Arabidopsis thaliana: one gene and its partner. The protein of the gene in region 2 interacts with the protein of the main gene of each other region in a pairwise test. Each region holds a gene or a part of one and is shown on either strand. Other genes may lie near its edges.

Region 1 (4,080 bases), on a different chromosome or scaffold from region 2:
CAGTTAAGTACAAGAGTGACCCTGCCGAGACACATCTTCACAGTCCCTGGGAGCTTTTTGATGCAGATACCAAGTGGGAGCAGCCTCACATTGATGATGAGCAACGAAACCGTTTGCTCTCGGCCTTAACAAAGTTAGAGACTTCAGACAAGAGAACCCAGGTATGTGATCCTAATGAATATAATATCTCATGGTGTTAAATCTAGCCTATCCTCCCCACCAAATTCAGACTTCACCCAAAGAGCTTAGGCCCATGTTTACATTAGCTTAGTTGGTTTATAGATCACATTCTAAAGCTTAGTGGATTAAGACACAACATTATCCCAAGAACTAACAATATTGATATAATGTGGGCTAATTTGTTTCAGGATTCTTTTGGCCTCCGAAAACTGAACCAGACCGTGGGAAATTCCAGCTACTCCAACAGGTAAATTTCTACAACCCTGGAAGAGTCTTTGGTGGAGCCAAAGCTGACATGGTTTTGTTCTATGGATTCATTCTGCAGGTTCCCAGTTCCTTTGTCTCTTGAAGTAATCAGATCAAGGCTTGAGAACAACTATTACCGAAGTGTGGAAGCATTACGACACGACGTATCAGTTATGTTGTCCAATGCAGAGACTTTCTTTGGTCGAAATAAAAGTGTAGCAGCCAAAATCTCAAATCTCTCTAACTGGTTCGACCGGACGCTACCTTCTTCGTAGCTTATCATCGCGCCTATGTAGATAAACTGATGTTTTTTTTTCTCATGTTTCCAAATTATTTAGTTAGGTTTCCTGCAATTCTTTAAAAACTCTGGTTCTAATGGCAGAAGAGAATTTTAGGGGATTTTTTTTCCTTCAGTTAGAAAATTTTAGGTTTAGGGTTTAGTTGGAGATAATCTTTTTCTTTTTGAAATTGTATGTAAAGAGAAATTGGAGGAGAGGTCAAAAACGTTTGATGCTTTGGAATCATCTTCTGTTGACTGACCAACCCCAAATTTGAGAATCATTTCTTTTTCTGCTAATGGTACAACAACAGATGAAATTGTTGACATTACATGTGCAAATATCCAGTCTACAATAGATGATCAAGACAAAAACAGTATAATTGCAAATATTTTTGACAAAAAATTGATGAATACTAAGAAACAACGTTTTTATAGAAAGTCTGGACGATTTGGTTGCTCTAGACAGTGGTAGTAAACTGAGTGATAGATATTGCTAGGTGTTTTTGAAACACTGTCAAGGTTAAGCTCCAATGAAATCAGTCAGTGATTATATGTTGATGACCCTCTCTCAAGGTTTGTTCTATAGTCACCAATTACAATTGTTTCTTCTTGGTATTGATATTTTGAGTTTTGTGTGTTTAGGATAGCTGATAGGCTTTTTTGTTAGTTTTATTTGATGGACTATTGTTTTTCAGTAGGTCTTTAACAAAGTTTTCTTCTGCTACCAGGTCACCTTTGTCAACTCCATAGCCACATTTTAAGGAGTGAAGAACCAGAAAGAATGAACACGATAATGTGAAGAACCAGCTATATATTTGTTTGTCTCTCTCATAATAATCTGACAAAATTTTTTTTGTAGAATCTAGCAAAATAATATTTTTTGAAAAATAAAAATATCTCCAAATAAATCTGAATCATAATACAATAACTAAAAATTATCAAAATAAAAATAAATAAGACTGCACTAAAAAAGGATTCTGGTGGATAGTTGGGCTTAGCCCATACAAGATTACGGTCCATGTGGTTTAATCGGTTTAGGTGGATGATATTGATATGGGGTTTCGATATTTCCCTTATATATATGAGACTGAGAGATAGAAGAAGCCTTCACTTTTCAATTATCTTTCTCCACACTCAACAAAATTGAGAAAAATCAATCAGAATGGTGAAAAAAGGTGGCACGAAGAGGAAGATTGCGATTGAGACGATACAGAAGAGAGATTCCCTTAGGGTTACCTGCACCAAACGCCGTGAAGGTCTCTATAGCAAAGCCTCTCAGCTTTGTCTTCTCTCAGACGCACAGATCGCTATCTTAGCGACTCCTCCTTCTTCTGAATCCAACGTATCCTTCTACTCTTTCGGTCACTCCTCTGTTGATGCCGTTGTCTCTGCTTTTCTCTCCGGACAACGTCCTGTTCCGAAGGATAACAAAGAGACGAGGGAGGACGTTGGTATCTGTTTGACTCGCAATAATCTAGGGTTAGGTTTTTGGTGGAACGACGAGAGCCTTGCCAGATCGGAGAATCCTCAAGAGATTAGTGAAGCGATCGACTCTATGCGGACGCTGTTGAGGAATCTCAAGGAATTGCGTGCGGATGAAGCTTTAGCCTGTAATCAAGCTTTCGTTAATGATCGCGAGGACCTGAAGAACAACGACAAGTGCGATTTTGTTTCAGACCACGAAACTCATGATCAAACCCTAATTCTTCAGTCCGCTTCTCCAATTTGTTGCATCCCAGAAAATCTCAACGAGATTACTCAAGAGCCAAATCAAACCCTAAATATTCAGTCGAGTACTTCTGCAATTTGTTGCGTCCCTGATAATTCACCTGAAAATTTCAATGAGATCACTGAAGAACAAGATCAGATTCGCTCGATTTGTGAAACTTTTTGTGTTATGGATAACAACGCTGCTTTACCTGAAATGAACCTGGATTACGATCAAGACATTGGCTTCGACACGCCTTTTGAGAGCGCGCTAAATGATTGGTTTTCGGACAACACTACTCATCAGGAGATTAGTGCAAGTATTTTGAACGCTGTTGTTGATGATCAAGTCTCGGTGGATCTAACTCCGTTTTCTTATTTTCAGAGATGTTTGGATGGAGATAATCTACGATTCTCTGATTGTTTCAAAGACTTTGCAAACACTATTTCAGCACTTTGAAGATAATTTCTCTGCAGTTTTCAAACTAACTTCTAGTTACTTCTTTATTATATGTATGTATTGATTCTGCTAATTTTGGTTACAGATATGTTTTAGCAATGTAATGAATGAAAGGGTCTGGTTTGACCTCGATCAGTTTTCCATACATATATGTATGAGGGAAATTGATCGAAATCAAACTGGTTCTCTGCTTCATCAGTTTGGTTTAATGATAATATTTGTCTTCTGTTTCTATGTTTTGTATTTGTAGTTTCAAGTCCAAACTCATGCGATGAGAACATGACCAAGGCAACCAAACCACTTGAACCACAAAAAGACGAGAAGCAGCTTGTACCGGAGGAAGCATTAATCGTTCTGGCGGGTCCTCTAACAAGATCAAAATCTAAGAAGTTCAACCAAGCTATCAATGGACTACTCAAGGAGCTAAAGAAGAATCAAGAAGACGTGACTCAATCCTCCTTCATAGTGATCACGGCTCAAGAGGCTCGGTAAAGGGTTAAGTGTTGCTTATGCATTCTTTTTCCCTTATCAAGTTTTGTCCCAATGGGTTTTCTTGACAAGGTTTTTAATGAGGCCTAAGGAACACTTTCAAGCCTCCCTTTATCAGCTCAATTCGTGGTCCAAGGCCCACTCACAATGCCGTGGCCCATTTTCTATTTTCTCTTCAAACTTTGCATTTATTGTTTTTGTTATTTCCAAAACTCTTTGCATGAGTGTGTACTTGTGCATGCTCTTGCATGTCTTTCTTCTCTCACCTCTTCCCCTTCTTCCTCCTCTCCTATATAAACTCATTGTAGTTCTCATTTGTAATCATCAAACATTTTAATCAAAAACTTTCTCTTTCACTTGTTTGATCTGAAAAGTGTGTAGTATCTTTTCAACTTGTTTTCTTCTTAGTGTGTAATATCTAAGTTGGATCCAAGCTCGTAGTCTAAGAGTCTTTCATCACTCTTGGAAGTACAATTCGTTCCCCTTTCATTCCGCTGCATCCACTCGATCTCGTCGCCATCCCCATTCATCGTCTTTCCACCGCTTTGATTAAGATCAATCCATTATTCACTATCAACTACATCATTTCCAATTCAAAACCAACAAAGTGAGTCCTTGGAGTATAGATCCACTTCCAGGAGTGTATCATCATGTCTTTTTAATATGACAACAGAATCAGGTGAAATTTCGATTATATACATAAAGTTAACCAACTGGT
Region 2 (4,570 bases):
TCAAAATTTTCCTATCTTATAGAATTTGTTAGATTGAGAATTAGTCGTTGATAAATGTATATCTAAATGGATCCACAAAAATCAAACAACAATAACGATTATGATGGTGGATTTTTTCTAGTACATTTATTTATTTTCTTTCTTTCTAGTCTTTGGTATCAACAAGTCTAATAATTTTCACTAAAGCTACTGCTGTGTTACTATTTGAACACAACTTGAATTATGTGTGGATGTGTGTTATAGACAAAAGTATACGTAAAATTGCGTGGGCATTTTTAATTGTATAATAGGATTTTATGCTATAATGGAATAATGTTATAGTCCACCGAATTGTATCGAAAGAAAGTGCATATGAACGGAACATTCATTAGATCAATGGTCAATATATTCCTTTATGTAGGTACATAGTAATGTATGCGGCAGGTGTACTATTATCATCATATGTTCAAACTCTAACGCATATACTATATACCATTTCGTAAGAGATTAACAGAGTTTTAATGTTATTCGTTTTAACCATCAAATTCCTTCGAAATAAATAGCTATATATACCTAAGTTTGTAGAGAATCTGAAGATACTCATAGTCGCAGCCAGCGAAAGAAAGAAAACTAAAACACTTTTAGAAACAAATATCTAGATTGAGTTAAGCCGAAAAAGTAGTAGATAGAATTATAAATACATATATATTATTTAACAGCAACATGAATCTCTCTACCAACACAATAATTTCTGAAGCTTAAAATAATATCTTGCAAAAGCTTAAATAGCATTCATTTTAAAATATCTTTCTCTTTGGTTATTTGTATCGGAGTATGGTCTATCATATCATCATACGATTATATACGTTTACAGACCCTGCAAACTTTTTCTCTTTTGGTTGGAGTTATTTTATAAAATTACGTACGCATAAGTCATAACTCCTCAAATCTATATACAAAAAGCAGCAAATACCATAAGCAGTAGCTAATGCATACATATAAATACGAGTTCCCATACACATAAAATGAAAAGAAACCAAGGTAAGATTTGGTAACAACATTTTCATCATCTCATGCTAATAAAACTCTTGAGACATATCTAAGTAACCCTTTTTAAAATTTATCCTATAAATAAAATTTACAGTTCATCAATACAACAAAAACAACTCATGAACCTTTGGTAAACAAGAAGAAAGAAACCGATGCAAATAAAGAAAACGAAAATGGAGTTTTTAAAAATTATTAAAACAACAAAAGAAAAAAAAAAGAAGAAGAGTTGTTACGAGGCGTGAAAGATGCGTTGCTTCTTGCTACACACCAACGATAACATCTCAGTATCGTTCACTCTTTTGTTTCCTACGACGTCGTTTCTTGAACTCTCCGGTGAAATGTTAACTCCGAACAATCTCAAAACCCGACCCGCATCTAAATCTGACCCGGATCTCGACTTCCACCCAATGTACAACTGTTGATCCTGACCGTTAGATCTACTGAAACTAACCACGTCACCAGCACGTAGATTCTTCTCCTTAACGAACCTGCTCCAACCTTTAGTCAAAACATAACTCTGACTACTGTTCCAATACGAGTAACGGAACCTCCACACTTTCCCGTTAACGTCCTCAAAGTTCAACAACACTCCTTTCACGGAAACGTTACTTGACGGTAACGGAAAATGTTTCTCTGCGTGATGTTTCGGTATAACCAAACGGTTTAGCTTCCCAACGTCGCTTGGCGTTACCGCTTTCTCAAACAGTGCCTCCGCCGATCTAAACCCCGTCGTAGAAACACCATCATTACTCAACCCCGACGTTAACAACGTCCTAGTCATGTTTCCGTTACCATTACGACGCCGTTTACTCTGCTCTAACTCTTCGTTATAAGTATGTTTCCTCAACATATCAACGATCTCAGATTTCGAATGAGAATTCAAGAAATCGACCTCGTCTTCGTCCATCTTCACGTCTTTGAAATTTGTGACGGCGTCACGGCGACGGAACCTGTGAACCGCGACGTCGTAGGCACGAGCGGCTTCGTCTTCTTCGTTGAATGTCCCGAGCCACACGCGCTGGTGTTTCTCGTAAATCTGAGCTCCCCATCTTCCGTTTGGTTGTGGCACCACACCTTTGTATTTTGACGACGGAAGCTTCCTAGATTCAGCTTCTACGCCGTTCTCTGAATCTAACACAACGCTTGATCCGCTTCCCATCCTGTATAAGTTACCTACCGACGACTTTTTCGCCGGAGTTATCGCCGGGGTTTCACAGATGGAACCTGTACTTGTAGTACTCTCATCAACGCTACTCGATTCCATTTAATCTGTGTTTTTTTTTATGGTTTGAAACAATGGAGAAAACAGAAATGTGTTTGTGTTGTGTTGTGAATTATGTTGTGTATATGTATACGTGTGTGTGTATAATATATATAGAAAGAAGGAGAAAGAGCTTGGGGGGAGGGAAATAAGAAACAGCAAGTGTCACTTCTGATATTATTATTTTATGTTTCACTTTTTATTTGGTAATAACAAAAAATATATTTGTAAGAATGCGTGTTTGAGGGGAGTAATTATAGTATATGTGCAGGTGCATGGGAAGTAAGATGGGTGTGTATGGGTCAACTCAAAGAACACAAAGGAAGCTTCGTGGAAACATAATGAAATATACGGCATTTAATTTAGGTTACTATATTAGGGTCTATTTCATGAACTGTTGATGTAACTTATAGAAGAAAACACACGAAGCAATAATAATCCTTATAATAAGTTAGTATTTTATTTATGTAAGAAAAAGAGAAAAGAGAGTATAGGAACAAATATAGAAATGAATATGTTGTGGGCTGTGTGCATGGGGAAGTGGGACCCATGTGTGGGCCATGGAATGGATAAAGGGTCCACGTGAGATATTGACATCATTTTAGTGAAGTTCATCCCCCCTGAGTTTTGATGCTTAAAATTTTAATTCACTATAATACTATAGTAACGATAATAACTATATGAAAAATAATAAAATAGAAAGTATTAGATTTGATAACCATGTTCAGATCCTACCGATGTTAAATGGTGTCTCTCTTTAAATTTTTTTCTCTTCCAAATCTGATTGTTATTCTTCACTCTTGAATGATATTATTATTGAAAAAGCTATAAATAGTTGTTTAGTCATGAACTCATGATATATATCTTCTTTATTTTCCATTTCCAGGTTTTTATTCTTCTTTCTATAATCTTATCCTACGTTTCTTTTTATAGAAAAAATGTGTATTGCTATGAGGATTATTGTCCGTATAATATATGCACTCGATAGATTCCAATTCCAAATTCATAAAAAATCTCTCTTTTGTTGTTCTTGTAATTATCCCATTTTATTATATATATATATATATATTTGGTATCAACATTTTATTATATTTGTTTCTCATAAGTGGGTGTATGTAATGTAAAAAGATTTTAAATATGTCTTATATATTTATAAGAAATACTTAGCCAACGAGCGACCGACATCATAACAAGTATTTCTACTGGTCAATAGAAATCCAATTAAATCAGTTGCCTTCAGTGTGTGTGTTTTACTCTTATAGAGAATAAATACGTAAGGATTTAACGCCATAAATTGTTTGCATTATATAATATGGTTTGAGGACAATTAACAAGTGATGTGGATAGCTTACGATCTTATCTGATATATTTGTTGCTTTGCAAAAGTATTCTTCTACCCATTAGTTAGGTTTCATTTTTTATGCAAAGAGCCAATTAGAGAACTGCGAAATATCGTGAGATTCGACTTTTATTGGCTCTCCCTGCTCCAATAGAAAATGTTAACGATTTATATCTCCTTTTTATATCTATTAATTGATTTGCCGGTTTCTATTTGAATTCTTGTAATTATTTATTATAGTATTTATTATCAATTTGATCCACTAGGATGGGAAGTGGGCCAATGACAAATCACTAAGAGGCATGGTCGTACGTGTCTTGTGTGGATGAATAATAATATGGGCATTTCTTGACAGCAGGACAATTACTTTTGTCTTTTTTCGTTTTTTTCTTTTTAAGTTAAAGAGGCATTGCTCAAAATACCTAGGCGCTAATTAGTGTTAGGATTTTTTTGTTTCTTAAGTTTTACCACACATTTTCATCAAAATATATATAAGTAAATTGGCATTTAAGCCCATATGAAAGAAATAAGTGCTGATCAACTTTAATTGATTTTGTTAAAATCAGTGTGGTAGAAAGTAGTGACTGTGTAGATTTATAGACAACACAATAATTAGATAATCACACTCTAATCAAATTTTCAAATTTAAAATCGTATTTTTATGTTTTAAAAAAACTTAAAATGGTTCTAAGTATATCATATATGGGTGGGTATGCGACAAAAAGAAATAGATGGTTGTATTTTCCTTAGAAGAAATTGAGTATGTTGTCACGTGGCACTTGTTGCTAACTCAGCTTTCTTTTCTCATGGAATTTGTCTCCGTAAGAGAGATTGGGCTCATCCATGTTTCTTTTATGATTCTAAGTATTTGAGCTCCAAATTGAAAAATTGGTTTTGTAAGTGATACATTATTGAAGTTGTGTAACCTCTGCTTACAAAAG

The links. Proteins that work in one complex are often made in the same cells at the same time.
Region 1: the proteins of RAV1 (region 2) and AT5G49420 interact in a two-hybrid assay, tested with the Arabidopsis thaliana proteins (one large-scale study listed by BioGRID).

Annotation. Positions count from the first base shown.
Region 1 is NC_003076.8:20,033,959-20,038,038, reverse strand, and holds AT5G49420 (MADS-box transcription factor family protein), read left to right. Parts: upstream 1-1,833; 5' UTR 1,834-1,868; coding exon 1,869-2,873; 3' UTR 2,874-2,926; intron 2,927-3,123; 3' UTR 3,124-3,367; downstream 3,368-4,080. Other genes in the region: AT5G49430 (WD40/YVTN repeat and Bromo-WDR9-I-like domain-containing protein), read left to right, coding at 1-161, 369-427, 506-701.
Region 2 is NC_003070.9:4,540,109-4,544,678, reverse strand, and holds RAV1 (uncharacterized protein), read right to left. Parts: upstream 2,512-4,570; 5' UTR 2,294-2,511; coding exon 1,259-2,293; 3' UTR 709-1,258; downstream 1-708. UniProt on the Arabidopsis thaliana protein: Binds specifically to bipartite recognition sequences composed of two unrelated motifs, 5'-CAACA-3' and 5'-CACCTG-3'. May function as negative regulator of plant growth and development.